3 linked regions of the Saccharomyces cerevisiae S288C genome follow. Changing the gene in region 2 together with the main gene of any one other region gives a genetic interaction. Each region holds a gene or a part of one and is shown on either strand. Other genes may lie near its edges.

Region 1 (7,474 bases), on a different chromosome or scaffold from region 2:
CTTACGAACGTCTTTGATAACTTGCTCATTTCCATTTTGAGCAGCGTCGGTCACTAAACGGCACATAGAGTGGACAATCATTGCAGTTGCACAAGAGTCAATGCCCCCAGATAAGGGAAGGAAAAACCCTGTTCCGTTACAACGTCTTAAATAATCCCACATCCAGCAAGCAGGTCCCAGTGCAATTTCTTCCTCAGGAGAGTGATAGAAAGGCTCGCGGACTTTTGTTGGACACACTGTAGGATCAAATCTGGAGGTCATTAAAGCCAATTCTACAGGAATATCAATACGCTTGAACTTTATTTCTGCCAAGGAGGCTTGTAGGCCACGAGACATGACAGCTGCACGATAACTCCTCACCTCTTCTAGGTCCACAGTAGCAGTAACTACTTCCACATCATCTAGCGAAAATTGTGAACCTTGGGCTACAATTGTACCATTGATGGCAATTAGTGCACAGCCATCATAATATAATCTGTCACCATCACAACCTCTTTGATTTGCATACAAGTAAACACCACCACAACGTTTAGTGGCATTTAAAATTAGGTCTAACCTTTTATTTAACTTACGCAGTTCATGATGAGAACCAGATGAGTTTGTCATGATTTCCACACCATCTAAAGACATGGCGATGTGGGGGGATTGAGGTGTAAACAATTCTTCACAAGTTTCTGTACCAATGCATGTATCCAATGAATTTATCACAGCGTCCCCAAATGGCACAAGTCTCTGGCCGGTAACTTTCTGAATCTCAGGTGGAAGGATAAAGTCCTCCACCACGCCAGGTTTCATCCAAGGTGTGAAAAATCTCATTTCCCTATAGTTACCATCATTAGCTAACCAAATCTTAGGTCTTATGAACAATATCTCACCATCCAAGGATAACAAACGACAATTATAACGAACATTCTTGTGTAGAACGGGCATACCAATGTCAAGTATTAATCCATGGGTTTCTTTATTCTTAATGATTTGAGCATACATTTCCCATGAATGAAGGCAAACGTCATTTTCTAAAAAATGATCTAAACATCCGTAGCCAGTTATTTCCAGTTCTGGGCCGACACGTAACCTGGCACCCCTCTCTTTGGCAATCTTAATGGACTGTAGGATACGGTCTCTATTACCTTCAAAATCTAGGGCCCATTGATTCAAGTTGCATGTAGCTAAAGTGATAAGATGTGACATTACTGGCAGGGAGTCAAAAAAAGAATGCCAGGGTATTTGGGGGTATTTTTACAAGCAATATCAATTGATGATGTGAGCATATAGTCTATTTTGAGGTAACCAGTTGATAATCTTATATTTCCCTTCCATATTCCTCTTTATCTTTTTCGACGAAACTATTGGGGCCTCTTGATATGACTTAGCAGGACATATAAAGGATAAGATGTTCCAAGCTATGTTATCTTTGACAAGTTTTGATAGCAATAGACTTTCAATTCCAAATTTAGGCACCTTTTGTAAGATCCTGTGTTCGTAAACTTTTCTTCAAAAAACATGGATCTAACTGACTGAAAGAGTTCATTATCTTTCAATTATGTGATGAAATTCTATTGTTTTTTTCAAGTTTTGCAACTAATCATAAAATAGAATGTTTTTACAGTCAAGCAAACAAAAATAGTGTAGAACTGTTAATATAAAATTAGTGTGAAAGATTGATCAAGAATTTATAAAGTCCTTCATGTTGTATATAGTATACTATACATGAACGCATATACAAGTAATTTGTGTGGATGATCATTAAAGATGGAAAATAAATAGAGTACAAAGGGGGGAAAAAAGTTCACTTGATGTCATCAAGGCATTCACCAGAGTTGAGAAATATCAGACCAATCATGCTTCTTTCTTCTTTCCCAATAACTCTTCGGTCCAGTTATGTATTTCCATTCATTCTTAGATACTTTTTCGAAATATTTAGGCTCCACATCTTGCCCTTTATTACGTCTTTCACGTTGAAGTTGTTCCAATTTCAGCTTCCACTCTTCCGCCTTATCAACATTTCCCTCCTCGTAAGCTCTAATATCTGGTCTTAATCTTGAGTCCGTAGGTGGTAAATTGCCCTTTTCAATTTCAGTTATCTCATTCAAATTTGCGGTGAATTTAGTAAAGCCATATTTCTTCTTCGGATTGCTAACTAAATCACCTACTTCCCATATAGTTTCATGTGTAGTTTCATTAGCTAAACTCTGTGTCCATTTACCAGCTAGAGTTTCCTTCTTGCGATTGCTCGAAGGTGGTGGGATTATCGAAACCTTAAATCCTTCAGATCTTCCACTAAACATACCTGCCTTATCGAACAGGATGTGTGATTTGTCTCCCTTCGAAGAATGTACTTCGAATTCGTTGACAGGCTCCATATATCTCTCACCCGCTATCAAATTTTTTAAAATAGTTGTTGGTTGCGTCCATTCAAATAGTTCTCCAGTTGTCTTAAACTTCAATCTCAGTATACCTTCGTTATTCAATTCAATAGACTTACCCCAAAACTTTTGCGATGGCGTTACAGTGTAACTACACTCCCAGTCGAGATGCTCTGCAAAGAAGGCAAATACTGGAGGACGATGTGAGACCTTTTCCGATATAAGCCTAAACCCCATATCTTCTCGTATAAGTTCAAATGTTTCAGCCAGTAAAGGATTAAAAGGCTTTCTTAGCGTTCTTGTTTTATCCCTATATATGGAAAGAAAGGAAATAGCAAATGCAGAAACAAAGGTTATAGGATCAGGACGTTGGGTAGCCTTCGTTAAAAGTGGAGCATACTCAAATGTTTCTGATATCAACTGCAAAATAGAAATAGGCTCATTTGAGGTTACTGGCATGGCAATAGAGCTCAGATCTTTGCCTACATTCTTTCTCAAAAAAGATAATAGGCTTGGCGGAGAAGCTGCAGCTTCAGGTATGTCATTACGGCGTGTAACACTCTTTGGATAGGAAAGAGCAAACAAATCCTTACTTGTAAATGTTTCTGTTGAGGATTGGGCGCTTTTGGTTTTTTGATGATGAGGGTGGCCACGGCGACGATTTTTGTGACGATTTTTGAGGTGTTTACGGCTATGATTTTCATCGTTAGTTGTATAGCTCTCCACACTTGATGAAGCTATCTGTTCGGATCCCGACAATTGGACCTCTTTTGTGAACTCATTTTGGTCACTTTTACCAAGAAGGGGAGTTTCCTCGACTATATTATTAATATCATCTTCTGTGTCAGGTAATATAATGACTCCCCGACTGATTTCCTCTTCTGCATCAAAAAATTCATCATTCTCGCTAAGATATGAAGTTAAAGAAACTCTCGTGTCTTTTGCTTTCTTGCACAGGATCTGGTGGTCCTTGAATAAAACCTCTCCCTGTGTAACGAACCGGCTAACAAATACTTCAAGATCTGCCAATTGGTTATATAAAGCATGCTCAATATATGTTTTGTTGGAAGGAACCTCTTCAGAGGCTAAAGAATCAGATGACGTCATACCAGAAGAAGAATGATTGAATGAAGACACTCTATTATTGGTAAAGACGGAAGATGACGAATGTGTTCCATTTAGCCCCTCCGATCTTTGATGTAAAGTAGTTGGTTTATAAGATAACGAGTCTTTTTTACACTGCTCCAGTCGTTGTTGAATCAAACGTAGATTCATGGAGAAAGTAGCGTAAGATTCGCTGGGCAATGGGACATATATGTCATCCATGTCTTTCTGAGTATGCTGTCTATGTGATAGTGCACTTTTGGTCGTAGCCGTGGGCGTGAGGTGGTCGTGGTCTTGAGGTGAGCTTTTATTAATTACTTCCTTGTCATCGTCAAGAATGTCGGGATTTTCTTCCAAAGTGGACGTGTCCTTATCTTCGAACTGATCGTCAAAACAAGTTTGTAACGCATCGACCCACGACTGCCAATTTTCCTTAGTTGTAGCCTTCAAGACCCAAACTTCCATACCAGAATCAATTATGATTATTTTGTCCTTCTTATTGGCACTAACAGATGACAAGCTTATGACAATTTCACCCCTACAAGTTTGATTATGGTCGTTTAAATAGTACGATAGGGTTCCATATCGAAAGTCCAAGGTGAAAAACCTTTTCTTAAAACCTTGTAGTCTCTTTCTCCTTTTTTTCAGCAGGTAGCCTTGCAAGTAACGACCTTGTCCTACTCTAAATAACATATCCTGTTGAGTAGATGTTCTGCTTAAAGCTGTAGGCCTTGCGGGAGGGGTGGATCTTGTGCTTATCATCGATTGATTATCGCCGTTTATCACACTTGCGTTAAAAAGAATTTTCTTTTTTGCATTCTTGGAAGACGAGTTGTCCAGTATAAATGCATAATAGTAGTCTGTATCTTTCACTTCAAGATCACCTTGGACCATAGTGTTACCGGAAACGTTGCCGACCCTCTTGACCAAAGTGAATCCTGACGCAGAGAGTTTTTCACGTAGGGGTATTTCCTGGGATTGCTGCTGTATGCCGCTAATGGACAGTGAAGAATATGATCTCTCTTTCCTCTTATTATCCGATCCATTGCTCGAACTATGAGAGTGCTGTGAGGAACGCCTGTGATGCTCCTCAATATTACTCGAACTTCCCTTATGTAATAGAGATTTCGTAGTATAGTCTAGCAATGTTTTAGTGTCAGGTGCAATGTGAACTGCGGAAGCATGGTCATCTACACTGGATTTCAACTTTTTGTATATGCCGACTTCAATAGATTTCTTCAATGGCTTGATCTGATAATTGATTACATCGCCACGGCCACATTTTACCCAACGAACAACAAATGATCGATTTTGTATATCAATTGTTTCCATAATTCGATTCGCAGGCTGCTATTCAAGCTCGTTTTACTACTCTCCAGCAAATAGGACGTCGAAACTTTCACGAGTTATACTCTCCCCCCAACAGGTTCACTAAAAAACCATGTCGTTGCTGGTTGTATGGTGTCAAACTGCTTTTTCCAAAGATTTGGTTATTTTTTTCGCCCTACCCTAAGCAATATCCGTATTAAAAGCTATGAGGCTTTTTGGTTGAATCAACAGTTGGAAACGCTTGATACAACCAAAATAAATATGTCATTACAATTTTGTGCTCCCGGAAACAAGGTTTTCCAGCACAGTTATTAATGTAGCGGTAGCCTATCTGTAAGCCGACTCTTTGGAGCAGTAAAGTGGAGCAGTAGAGTGGAGCCTTTAGATCTAGAGATGCGGCTTAATATCGACATCAAGTACCTTTTTTGGTTGCTACAGTTAAAGACTTTTCTTGTACGTTTTAACAACGTGAAGCACAACTGTAACTAATATCAATCTATTTTTCCTTATTACAGCTAAAAAGAAACTGGCGAGTCTTAAAAGAACTGGTTCTGGATAAGAAAACGGCCACTGCTCCTTCGAGATTAAAACATATAATCGATCAATTATAATTAGTATTTATCACCTAAAAACTTATCAAATTTATGTAGGTCTAGAAAATTGAAAATGAAACAAGAAAATTCACTGCATTTTCATACTAGCCAGAATCACGTACTATACAATATTCCCTTAAACTACCCAAATCTATTGGCCTGGTACCAAACCAAATCTCTTCTTCAAAGTTACTCTTTGTCTTGAATATTTGTCGTCTGGAGAAAATCTAGCTGGGTGAGCAGACTTCGTGATTTCACCACTTTCGGTGACCTTTTTCAATGTATAGATTCTCTTGCCGTCTGGGCCCAAAGTGTACATCAAATGCATCTTGTTCAAAAGGATTTGTTATGTATTGGTCTATTGAAAGTATTTCTCTTTTCCGTCAACTCACTAACATAAGCCACTTTATAGCTACCATAATGTAATAAAAGAGTGATGAGCATAACTTGAAATTTTTTTCTCCTTCCGCTTAGTTGAAAAAAGACGAAAAAAATAGTGAAGCCGTGCTAAAGGATAAATGGTATATTTGAAAGAACTCTACACTTAGCGTGTAATCACCATAACCAATAGTTAGCTGGAATTTCAAACACATGTTAATTTTTCACCTATTATTTTACTACTACATATACAAATAAATATACTAGTTTTGCACTAGTTTCTAATTGTTGCAGCCTCTAACAACACTTATAAATAAAACTTAAAGCGTATGTGTTTCATATGCCCTGCTGTACATACCTAATGCCTTAATAGGGAATAAGAATCGATAACTTGGGTATTCAATTGCACAAGAGTGGTTGAAAACACCTTCTACACTTTCAAATTTCCATTCCCCGGATTCTTCTTGTCTATTTTTTAAAAGGTCAATACCGCGGTCGATGACTTCTTTATTAGGATATTCAGCGAAAAGAAGTGCAATTAGCGCCCATGCGGTTTGAACGACTAGCGATTTTTCACTATCCACATAACTATGTAATTCACTGGACTTCATTGATTCCCCCCAACCGCCATCCTTCATCTGTTTACTGACCAAGAAGTCGCAACCTTTTCTTACCGTTGAGGAATTCTCATAGGTCTCCCCCACGGTGTGTAATGCCTCCAATGCAAACATACCGGCATATGTAAAACAAATACCCCAGCTTCCATACCAACTTCCATCTGGTAATTGAGATTTTTTTATGAATTCGATGGCGATTCTGATGCGTGTACGTATTTCCTCTTTCCTATAGTCGAAGTACTTGTGAAAATATGTCAACCCCAGAACGGATGAATCAGTACATTCCACGTATGGGTATTCTACCATTATGTTACCAAAAACTTCAGCAGGATTCAAGGTTTCCATTGCTAGTGGGGCCTTGATTTTTTCATAGGTTGCAAAGGAACCATATTCAAAAGATCCGATGTTTTGTAGGTTCAATAACACATCAATGCCTTCAAATAAACGTTCACTGCTAATCATATGGTGTACTTCACTAAAGACGGGAGAGTTTTTCACCATGATGATGGCTTTAATTGCTTCTGCAGTGCAATCTGCCACTGTATAGCCCTGTGTTTTTGTTGAGAAGCCCCAAGCCCCCTTTCTCTTATCCCTATAACTACCTGGAACGCACTCGGTGTCAAATTGAGCATGACACAAGAATTTATAGGCAGAGACAATTGTGTTATAGAATTCAGGTCTTTCTGCGAGGCCTGCGACGAAAAAGTATTGAATGGCAAACGCACAATCCCAGGTTTGCACACCATTTGTTCCCATAATGGTCATACCCTGTGGACCATGGAACAATGCATCCTTGAACCTATATTGGAGACGCTGGAACGCTTCCGAGTCTACCCCTTCTTCAATAAGAGTGACAAGTGCGCAAAACGCCTGGTTAACAGGTGCTATACACAAGGAATCAGTATTCTGTAACTCCGTTTTGATTAGATCATAAACCTTCTTCTTGGATAGAGAGTAAATGAACCGGTTTCTTAGGTATTTTTCGTAAAATACTACAAGGCTGTTCGCAATATTCAAAGTAGTAGAATGGGGGTAATATAGGTCTACTCCACATACGGTATTCCTGTTCTTGGAGAAGTTAATCTTG
Region 2 (6,400 bases):
TACTATTTAAGATTAAGATTTCCTCACGAATTAATCGATGATGAGAGGTCTACCGCTCAATACGATTCCAAAGATGAATGCATCAATGTAAAAGTAGCCAAACTGAATAAAAATGAATATTTCGAAGATTTGGACCTACCGACAAAGTTGTTGGCTAGGCAAGGCGATCTTGCAGGTGCCGATGCATTAACAGAAAATACTGATGCGAAAAAAACCCAAAAGCCCCTTATTCAAGAGGTCGAAACTGATGGCGTGTCGAATAATATTAAAGATGATGTGAAGACTATTGGTCAAATGGGAGAGGGGTTTAATTGGGAGATAGAGCAAAAGATGGATTCCAGCACCAATAATGGAATATTGAAGACAAAATATGGGTTTGATAACTTATATGATACAGTTATATCAGTGTCGACAAGCAACGGGAACGATATCAATGAATTAGACGATCCTGAACACACTGACGCGAACGATAGAGTTATTGAAAGGTTAAGAAAAGAAAATTTGAAGTTTGATCCTGAGTACTATGTTTCCGAGTATATGACACATAAATACGGTAACGAGGAAGACTTGGAAATTAACGGCATTAAAGAACTACTGAAGTTTACACCTTCGATCGTAAAGCAATACCTGCAATGGTACAAAGACAGTACGAACCCAAATCTGGTCATGCCAATTGAGTTTACTGACGAGGAACAAAAACAGATGCAGGACAATTTACCCAAGAAGTCTTATCTCGTGGAAGATATAAAACCACTTTATGTCACTATACTCAGCGTTCTTTTCAGTTATGTGTTTGAACAGATCGAAAACGAAGGTACTCATACCACAGAGAGTGCTTGGACCATGGGAAAATTGTGCCCTCAAATATCATTCTTAGACCAACAATTAAAACAGGTGAACGAACTGCAAGACGGTATGAAAGAAATATCAAAGGTTAATAAAGACAGCTCTCTCATCAAGATTGCAATCATTACAGGTATCAGGAGAGCCCTGAGTTATCCACTACATAGAAACTATGACCTAGCAATGAAAGCGTGGACATTCGTATATTATATTCTACGAGGTGGTAAGAGACTAGTCATAAGGGCGCTTTTGGACATTCATGAAACATTTCGTTTCCATGATGTTTACTACGTCTACGACAAAGTTCTCTTGGATGATCTGACTGCGTGGTTCATTTCTCAGGGTAGTGAGAACGTCATAAGAAGTCTGGCCTTGGAAATGAGAAAAGAGCAAGAGTCACTTTCCAAGCAGGATATTGAATTTGAATGTATTGCATCGTTCAACGAACAAACTGGCGAACCTGAGTGGGAGACACTAAATATAAGAGAGATGGAAATTTTGGCAGAGTCTGAATACCGAGAGCAGCAGCAGAACCCACAATGAAGATCATTTGAATGTTTAGCGTAGATTACTGCATTAGATAGAGTATATATTGATTAACGTTCCTGCAGGGGCCTAAAATTGGGTTACCCTTCTCTTCCCGCGGCTTTTCCCCTCATGGCATTACGTATTCCATCGAAGAAGGGAGAAGGCTTTCAAGCCTTGAAGAGTGACAGCGATCCAAGCTGGGGGGGGGAAAAACAACGAGGACATCTGTTGAGCCCTTGAATTGGTACAACCTATTAGAGTGTTCTTATATCTGCATTTGGTCATCTTCTTTTGAAGCTTTTTAAAGAAAAAAAGTAGTTAACAATAAAAGAATACAACATTAAAAGAAAAAAAAATGTCGAAAAACAACACAATGACCTCTGCGGTCTCTGATATGCTGTCACAGCAACAGCTAAATCTTCAGCACCTGCATAACTTGCAGCAGCATACGAGAAGTATGACTTCAGCAGATCATGCCAACGTTTTACAACAACAGCAACAACAACAACAACAACAACAGCAGCAGCAGCAGCAACAGCAGCAGAGCGCAAGCTTTCAAAATGGCAGTTTGACATCCGATATAAACCAACAAAGCTATTTGAATGGACAACCAGTTCCTTCCACTAGTAATTCAACGTTTCAAAACAATAGGACGCTGACGATGAATTCTGGAGGGTTGCAAGGTATCATAAGCAATGGTTCTCCTAATATCGACTCGAACACCAATGTAACCATTGCTGTCCCAGATCCCAATAATAACAACGGGAAACAGCTCCAAGGGAAAAACTCTTTAACCAACACTTCAATACTGTCGAGGGCTAGGTCTTCCTTACAACGTCAAAGACTTGCTCAGCAACAGCAACAACAACAAGATCCTAGATCTCCATTAGTAATACTGGTCCCTACAGCTGCGCAACCAACAGATATTCTTGCAGCGAGGTTTTCAGCTTGGAGAAATGTCATCAAGTCGGTGATCGTTTACTTAACAGAAATCGCTTCTATTCAGGATGAAATTGTTAGACAGCAACTAAGATTATCACATGCTGTACAATTCCCATTCTTTTCGATCGAGAATCAATACCAACCAAGCTCGCAGGAGGATAAATCAGTACAAAAGTTTTTTTTGCCATTGGGTAATGGCTCGATACAGGACTTACCAACAATTTTGAACCAGTATCATGAATCCCTAGCATCCAGCGCGTCTAAGGCATCAAGGGAATTGACCAATGATGTTATTCCTCGTTTGGAAGACTTGAGGAGAGATCTAATAGTCAAGATAAAGGAAATAAAATCACTGCAGTCGGATTTCAAAAATTCTTGTTCCAAAGAGTTACAACAAACAAAACAGGCCATGAAGCAATTTCAGGAGTCTTTAAAGGATGCGCGCTATTCAGTGCCAAAACAAGATCCATTCTTAACCAAGCTGGCGCTTGATAGACAAATTAAAAAGCAACTTCAGGAGGAAAACTTTCTGCATGAAGCTTTTGATAATTTAGAGACTTCAGGCGCTGAATTAGAAAAAATTGTAGTTATGGAAATTCAAAACTCTTTAACAATATATGCCAGATTACTGGGACAAGAAGCACAATTGGTTTTCGATATATTGATATCCAAATTAGATTCTGGATTTTTCAACGTTGACCCACAATTTGAATGGGATAACTTCATTTCAAGGGATCCCAACTTTTTATTGCCTAATCTACCGATGAGGACATTCAAAGAAATCGTTTACAAATACCAATTCGATCCTTTGACTTATGAAATCAAATCAGGGTTTTTAGAAAGAAGATCAAAATTTCTAAAATCCTATTCAAAAGGGTATTATGTGCTGACACCGAACTTTTTACATGAATTCAAGACCGCGGACAGAAAAAAAGATTTAGTACCAGTGATGTCGTTAGCATTAAGTGAATGTACTGTGACGGAACATTCCCGGAAAAACAGTACATCATCACCAAATTCGACTGGTTCGGATGCTAAGTTTGTGTTGCATGCTAAGCAAAACGGCATAATTCGTCGTGGTCACAATTGGGTTTTTAAAGCCGATTCTTATGAATCAATGATGTCTTGGTTTGATAATTTGAAGATCTTAACATCTACTTCGAATATACAAGACAAGTATAAATTCATAACACAAAAATTAAACTTGAATTCAGATGGGAAACCCAAGCTAACCAATAACCATACCAGCATTAATAAGTATCAGCTGAGTAATGCCAATAGCACAATGGTAGAAAATGATGAAAACGATGATATAAATAGTAATTATGTGGGGTCCACGGTAACACCAAAATTGGACAATCAAACAAATACGAATACATCCATGTCTTCATTACCTGATACTAATGATTCTGAATTACAAGATCAAGTTCCCAATATTTATATTCAAACTCCAATAAACGATTTCAAATCATAAATACAAGTATAGTAAACTAGAATGTTTTTATTTCCTTCCATCCATATGTTATATTAATATGTTTCCGTATTTTTGTTTTTGTGTCCCATGCATGGAAGAATACAACCTACAAGCAGACTTATATAAATATACAATACTACCTATCCCTCAACTCCATCACTAATTCTAACAGCGGACCAAAATCAGCCGGTCTTAGTAGTTCGAACTCTTGTGCAAAAAGACAAAAATGTCTAAAACTTGTGTTTAGTACGGTTTGTAAATTTAGTTCAAGAATTTCATTAAAATGATGACAGTAAATATGCGCATAAACTCTGAATAATCGCCTTAGAATTGGTTGAATTACTCGTTGGATGAATCCCTCCGGGAAGGTACCGGTGACTTTGGAAGGAAAAAGAGATTCGTCATCAAATTGGTCTTGACACCACCTCATCAAACATTCCACATACTTAGGGGCACTTACCGAAACGGGGGGCTGACCCTTTTGAAATGCCCAAAGATATTCATATTCGTTCGTCGCTATCATCCTCGGGCATGTTTGTGGGGAGCAAAATTCTGTGATGGACCCGTATAACATATTAATCTGATTGTAAAAATCCACGCAATGAACCGCTAGCCATTCATTCTCATCCTCACCACGCGGTAACTTCACAGCTTGGTTAAGGACTCCCTCAGACCCCAGTGTCATCTCCACAATTTGCTTGATGTCTTGATGTGTTGTAACTGTCGTACCTGCTTGCGGTTGTAGAAACGGCTTCTGATGCGATGGTGTATAGTTAAAGTCCGTTACATTTTGTAATTGTTCAGGCGGAGGGGCGTGCCTCTTTGGCGTAGTGAGGACGGGAGACATCCTTCCATGGTCGCTTTCATTATATCCGTTTACTGGATTGTTTGTAAAATCTGCTCTATTGTTAATAGTATTGGCATTATTATTATTGCCGTTAATAGTATTGTTATGGGGAGTTGCCTTAGTAGGCGATACAGAGCCTGCATTATTAGCTGCATTGGCAGTATTCCACTTGAAACCTCTAGTAGATCTTATTGTTTGGCCGGGACTTATATGACTGCTTTCAAAAGGTAACTCATACCCAGTTTGTTAATAAAAGATGAACAATAATACTTGAAGTAGAAAAGAAAATAGCAACATACAAATTTTGTAGAAAAGACATGGAAATTGAAGTCCTTATTGAATTAGGAAAATTTTGTTGAAGATACTAACAAAAAAACCGGTTTTCTCTCGAATAAACTAAAAAAATATCTATACAGCTCAAACGGGCTGAGCTAAGGCTCTTTTAGATCAGTAATGTTACCAAAGCTATAATTGTAATTCTTCTAACGTTTTGATATTTCCATTTTGGGAAGTAGTATTACCCTTCTTTTGATCGAACGTATTTGTCATATTATACGAGTGGGATACCCGACCGATAATAATAATCACGTTTATATCACGTGATCATCTCTGAATACCAAAATCACAACATACGGAAATTAGGGGACATAAGATTTTTTGAGGAGAGATTTCTTTTCCTATTTATTTTTAATCGCGCCATTACTGACAATAGCAAATTAATTTATAGTGGAGTACATGGACTATTTATTATAGATTTTGTTGGCATATTCTTTTTTTAACAATAAAAGGTATACATATATATATATAGACAAACTCAAGTATTCAGTTACGGGTAAATCAAGTGAAATAAATTTCGCCTTTTAGTATCTATTTGTGTACTTTTGTGCCATAAGCTAAAAGAGTAAAAATAATAACAAGAGGCGTAGAAGAAGGGTTTATTCAAGGGAACAAAGGCAAGAGGAATAAAAGCTCATGTTCAAACCAGTAGACTTCTCTGAAACATCTCCTGTGCCGCCTGATATTGATCTTGCTCCTACACAATCTCCACACCATGTGGCACCTAGTCAAGACTCCAGTTATGATCTTTTATCCCGGAGTTCCGATGATAAAATTGATGCTGAAAAGGGTCCGCATGATGAATTATCTAAGCACTTACCACTTTTTCAGAAAAGACCTTTGAGCGATACTCCTATATCGAGCAATTGGAACTCTCCTGGAATCACTGAAGAAAATACACCTTCTGACTCTCCTGAAAATAGCGCTACTAATTTGAAATCGCTACATCGATTGCATATTAACGACGAAACGCAACTAAAAAATGCTAAAATTCCCACAAACGATACTACTGACTACATGCCTCCTTCAGATGGAGCAAATGAGGTAACTCGGATTGATTTGAAAGACATTAAATCACCTACGAGACACCATAAAAGAAGACCTACCACCATCGATGTTCCTGGTTTAACAAAGTCTAAAACATCTCCAGATGGTCTCATATCAAAGGAAGATAGTGGATCAAAGTTAGTGATTGTCATGGTCGGACTGCCAGCTACGGGAAAGTCATTTATTACAAATAAATTATCCAGATTTTTAAATTATTCTTTATACTATTGTAAAGTGTTTAATGTCGGTAACACTAGAAGGAAGTTTGCTAAGGAGCATGGCCTAAAGGACCAGGATTCAAAGTTTTTCGAGCCGAAAAACGCCGACTCTACTAGGTTGAGAGACAAATGGGCCATGGATACTCTGGATGAATTGCTAGATTA
Region 3 (5,132 bases), on a different chromosome or scaffold from region 2:
AACGACACTGAAGATGATTCGATAAATAAGGCCTCTATTGACCGGGGATTGGACGACGAGAGCGGTCCTACTCATGGTAATGACAGCGGTAACCACCGTCACAACGAGGAGGATGACGTCCATACCCAAATGACGAAAAACTATTCTGACGTAGTGAACGATGAAGACATCAACGTTGCCATTGCCAATGCCGTCGCAAATGTAGATTCTCAATCAAACAATAAGCACGATGGAAAAGACGATGATGCCACTAACAACAATGATGGCCAAGATAATAATACTAATAACGATCACAACAATAACAGCAATATCAATAACAACAATGTCGGTAGCCACGGCATTTCCTCCCACTCACCATCCTCCATACGAGACACGTCTATGAATTTAGACGTCTTCAATTCTGCTACCGATGATATACCGGGCCCATTTGTCGTTACCAAAATTGAGCCCTATCATAGTCACCCACTAGAAGATAACTTGTCACTGGGTAAATTTATCCTAACTAAGATTCCAAAGATTTTACAAAACGATTTAAAGTTTGATCAAATACTAGAAAGCTCTTACAATAATTCTAACCATACAGTGAGTAAATTTAAAGTTTCTCATTACGTGGAGGAGTCCGGTCTTTTAGACATTTTAATGCAAAGATATGGATTAACCGCCGAAGATTTCGAAAAAAGGTTACTTTCCCAAATAGCCAGACGTATAACGACGTATAAAGCAAGATTTGTTTTGAAAAAGAAAAAAATGGGCGAGTATAATGATTTACAACCTTCTTCATCTTCCAATAACAACAATAACAACGATGGTGAGCTTTCTGGCACGAACTTGAGAAGTAACTCTATCGACTACGCCAAACATCAGGAAATATCAAGTGCGGGTACCTCATCGAACACAACCAAAAATGTGAATAATAACAAGAATGACAGTAATGACGATAATAACGGCAACAATAATAATGACGCCTCAAATTTAATGGAAAGTGTGCTAGATAAAACCTCTAGTCACCGGTATCAACCCAAGAAGATGCCAAGCGTCAATAAATGGAGCAAGCCAGATCAAATAACTCATTCAGACGTGTCCATGGTTGGCCTAGATGAATCAAACGATGGCGGTAATGAAAATGTCCACCCAACCTTGGCTGAAGTAGACGCTCAAGAAGCTCGTGAAACTGCTCAGTTAGCCATAGACAAGATCAATTCTTATAAGAGGTCCATTGATGACAAGAATGGTGATGGCCATAACAATTCGTCGAGAAACGTGGTAGATGAAAACTTGATCAACGATATGGATTCAGAAGATGCTCACAAGTCCAAAAGACAGCATTTGTCAGATATCACACTGGAAGAGAGAAATGAAGACGACAAACTACCACATGAAGTGGCGGAACAGTTAAGGTTACTGTCATCGCATTTGAAAGAGGTAGAGAATCTACACCAGAATAATGATGATGACGTAGACGATGTAATGGTGGACGTGGATGTAGAATCGCAGTATAATAAGAACACAACTCATCATAATAACCATCATAGCCAACCTCATCACGATGAAGAAGATGTTGCTGGACTAATAGGGAAAGCCGATGATGAAGAAGACCTTTCTGATGAAAACATTCAACCAGAATTAAGAGGTCAATAGATACCCAGTTGAGAAGACGAGCTATTTTTCTCATGTTTCTTTTGTTTATTCACTTTTCTATACTTTTTCTTTTCTATTGAAATATATATTATATCTTATGTATGTTTTTTTGTATTATAAACAAGCAAATTTCGTCTTGCCATTTACCTTCTGATATTAATCACATGTATATCTCAATTCAAGTTTTTGTTAAGATAATCAGCGAAAAGCGGACCGATCCTATCTTGATCTATATCTCTTAGTTTGTTGAAGTTAATGAATTGCCTTTTCAATCTCTGCAATTGCGCCAACGTAACGACGTTACCAATGGGCAAGTCTACGAAGAAGCAACCATCATCATTGATATCGGTAATCCCTTCGGAAACAATGACTCTTGTTCCGTTACTTACCCCGCCAATAGAAGTCAGGCTTTTGATGTGGTTCATTATGGTTTTTATTATCTTACTAGTTTCGATGTCGAGAACCTGGATGAAATTGGACTGAGACGCAGGCTTTAGTACCGTGGCTGAGTTCGGTTTTTGTAAGCCCTTACTCAACGGATCATTGTGTCCACTGTTTTTAGCCGATTTGGAAGTTTGAAAGACTACTTTACAAATATCGTCGATGTAGTCAGTTATGTTGTCCTGAGGAGTAAGAATAGCAAAGAGTGGAGAGTCCCATCGGTTGCTTGAGTTAGGCTCTTCGTATCGTTGAATCAATTGATTCAATAACTCGGGTTCCCAAGGGTTCGGGTTTGAAGTCTTATTCCACTCGAATATAGTCTCTGGTGGACACAGTGTTTGAATTACACAAAATGTGGTGGACAAATTTTTCACCTCGCAGTGAAGTTGATACCGGAAACCCTTGATATAATTCAACGAGTCTACAATGACTATCTTGTTTTTAGATAGATCTCTTTTCACTGCGGAGATGATCTCCGACCTCAATTTTCTTTCATCTTGGGAAGTTATATAATCTGAATGTTTTATGCCTAAAGATTCATCTGAATGATAGGTTATGGAATATTTACTTAATGATGGGGTTGCATCGATCTTGGACTGTAGTAGTTGTACCAAATGTTTAGCAAGCGTTGTCTTACCACTACATGGGTATCCCGTAAAAAGCACCAGTGGCATCTTCTTACTAAATTGCCTGTTTAGTTTTTTCAAAAGTTTTACAAGGTCCCTTTACCCTCATTCTGATACGTTATTGTTCAAGTTTCACCTGTTCATCAAGTATTCTTCATTTCTTTTTCCATCGCGATGACGATGACAAAACGGCAAAAAGTCAAAGAAAAAGAAAAAAAAAGATTTTTTTTCCATCATATGCAGAGAGAATATGTCCAAGCCAAGCGCAGTGTGCATGTATGCTGTTTTTAGCATATCGGGTGTGCGAAAGGAATGACATAATGATTTGCAACTAATATTTCCTTATATAAATATGCTTCTGGATATGAGTCTCATGAAACAAGTTCAGTAATTGCTTGTTTTACCCTTACTTTTTTCTTGGTTATGACTTGTGTACATAATAAATTGCCTATTTTCCCAAATTGTGTCCTTTTTCCTTTCCGGTTGGTATGAGATATTTCTTTTCAAAAATCAAAAGAAAACAACAAAGGGTTGATATTATGTAATGCAATACCTAGAATCGGGAAAAACTTGTTTGTCGTACCAAGAGAGGCAGCACTGGCGTGCCTTGATTTAATATAACTCCTGAGATAGTGGGGGTTACATGAGTTGTACAGCATAAGACTCCCTCTCCCCAGTTCTGTTCGTATATGTCGGGCTTGCTTGCGAAAGCAAGGGGTTCAATAAACAGAAAACAGAGTTTTTGGATAAAGTTTAAACAACGGAAACAGAGCAACAATGAAGGAGAGAATAAGTATCAATTGTGTAATTCTGTATACCGTAGTGCACAGTACGCTGTGCGCAACTCTTGCCTAAAAAATCTAGTTATCAAGCGGGGTGAATATGCTACAATGCCTCTTTTACGTTGTACTCTATCAAGGGATGATAGCAGTGGCACATATTGATTGATACGACTTTTCGCCGCGCGGTAGGCGAAAAGCAAAGAAAACTACAGTAATATCCAGAAATAGATGCATTTTATGTGCGAAATAAAACTCATGCTGAAAAAAATAGTAATAATTAATAGGGTAACGAATAGAATGCAAACCTTATCACGTGAAAGAGAGAACAATCATAAATGATTTAGTGCGTAGGTCCAGATTTGCGAAACACTGCGGAAGGCGAGAAAAGAATTCGAATATGAAGTAGGTAGAAGCAGAGGTAGGGCCGCTATTTAAAGATATACTTTTTCTGTACGGGCCGGTGACTTCGCAGTAGTGATGTACTATGAGATCACTATTTTGCCGGAAACTGTAGGCAAAAACCGTTTATGTCTTTTTTTCACCTTACGGGATAACCTCTGCTGAGAATTTCCAAAACTAGGCATGGATGATTGCCGGAATTTGAAACCCGGGCCCCGGAGGTTGATCGCACGGCAAATACATAAGAACCTTCTCCGCAATACGGGCTTTCCTCAATTTTCTTGGCCAAAAAGCGAGTCGGCCCCGAGCTACAAATCGGGAACAACGGAGGAATAGAGCGACAAGTTGATTCGGTCGTGCAGCCCGGAAAAAAAAGGCTGTCCTGCGGGCTTTATTCACTCCAATGCCGCTGAGAGGAACACGCGTTTCGTGGGCTTTGGACCACTACCCCGGCGTTCAGAGAAACCCCCCGGGGCAGGGGTCCGAAGTCTAAAAGTTTAATCCGGAAGTAGCGACGGGGGGGAAGCCCGCCGCGCACAGATGGCCAGCACAACGGAGCGGGGCCGAGGCGGCAAACGAGGTTAAGCCCGCTGAACCTGAAAAAAAAAACGAAAATTTTCTTTCATCAAGGACTAAAGTTTTCTTATGTTACGGATCTTGCACGCGGTAAGCAATGGCCGTAGCCTTTTCACAGTTGCTTCCAAGTGTCATGTATCGATTTTGCAGATTGTTCTAAAAGTAAATGGATTGCTATTTTCTTTCCGAGACTACTCTAAAAAAATTTATTGAGTATGAGATCGTTTTTAGATAAATTATATATATTGTAAAGCTATTAACTAATCTCCTATATCAATTTCTTCTTGCTTAACCCCGTGTGGTTGTTTAGGTCCATCTCCTTTTTCCTTTTAATTTTTTTACCTTTATTAATTCCTTCACCTCTCTAAACCCCAGTTTTATATCGTATATGCTATCTACAGGTCCACTTTACACTTAATAATATAAAAATACTACTATAAAGGAACCAGAAAAATAAAAAAGGGTCATTATTTATTTGAGCAGATCATTATCAAACGCATAGGAAGAGAAAAAACACAGTTTTATTTTTTTTCCACACATATTTATTGGTCTCCTAGTACATCAAAGAGCATTTTAATGGGTTGCTGATTTGTTTTACCTACATTTTCTAGTACAAAAAAAAAACAAAAAAAGAATCATGACCGCAAAGACTTTTCTACTACAGGCCTCC

What was found. A genetic interaction does not mean that the proteins touch.
Region 1: mutations in SLM1 (region 2) and OSH3 together harm fitness less than expected from each alone (positive genetic interaction), as found in Saccharomyces cerevisiae (2 studies listed by BioGRID).
Region 3: mutations in SLM1 (region 2) and KTI12 together harm fitness more than expected from each alone (negative genetic interaction), as found in Saccharomyces cerevisiae (2 studies listed by BioGRID).

What each region holds. Positions count from the first base shown.
Region 1 is NC_001140.6:239,910-247,383, reverse strand, and holds OSH3 (oxysterol-binding protein related protein OSH3), read right to left. Parts: upstream 4,803-7,474; coding exon 1,812-4,802; downstream 1-1,811. Other genes in the region: QNS1 (glutamine-dependent NAD(+) synthetase), read right to left, coding at 1-1,191; snoRNP complex protein NOP10, read right to left, coding at 5,544-5,720; lanosterol synthase ERG7, read right to left, coding at 6,091-7,474. UniProt on the Saccharomyces cerevisiae protein: Lipid transport protein (LTP) involved in non-vesicular transfer of lipids between membranes.
Region 2 is NC_001141.2:164,968-171,367, reverse strand, and holds SLM1 (phosphatidylinositol 4,5-bisphosphate-binding protein), read left to right. Parts: upstream 1-1,726; coding exon 1,727-3,787; downstream 3,788-6,400. Other genes in the region: Hsp90 cochaperone SHQ1, read left to right, coding at 1-1,386; YIL105W-A (uncharacterized protein), read right to left, coding at 3,564-3,704; MOB1 (Mob1p), read right to left, coding at 3,924-4,848, 4,934-4,953; PFK26 (6-phosphofructo-2-kinase), read left to right, coding at 5,607-6,400. UniProt on the Saccharomyces cerevisiae protein: Together with SLM2, acts as an effector of the TORC2- and calcineurin-signaling pathways. Phosphorylated and activated by TORC2 under favorable growth conditions. Mediates actin polarization via inhibition of calcineurin-dependent transcription.
Region 3 is NC_001143.9:227,128-232,259, forward strand, and holds KTI12 (Kti12p), read right to left. Parts: upstream 2,754-5,132; coding exon 1,812-2,753; downstream 1-1,811. Other genes in the region: DNA-binding protein ABF1, read left to right, coding at 1-1,638; transcription factor HAP4, read left to right, coding at 5,100-5,132. UniProt on the Saccharomyces cerevisiae protein: Elongator complex-associated factor that is not a structural subunit but rather transiently contacts the complex.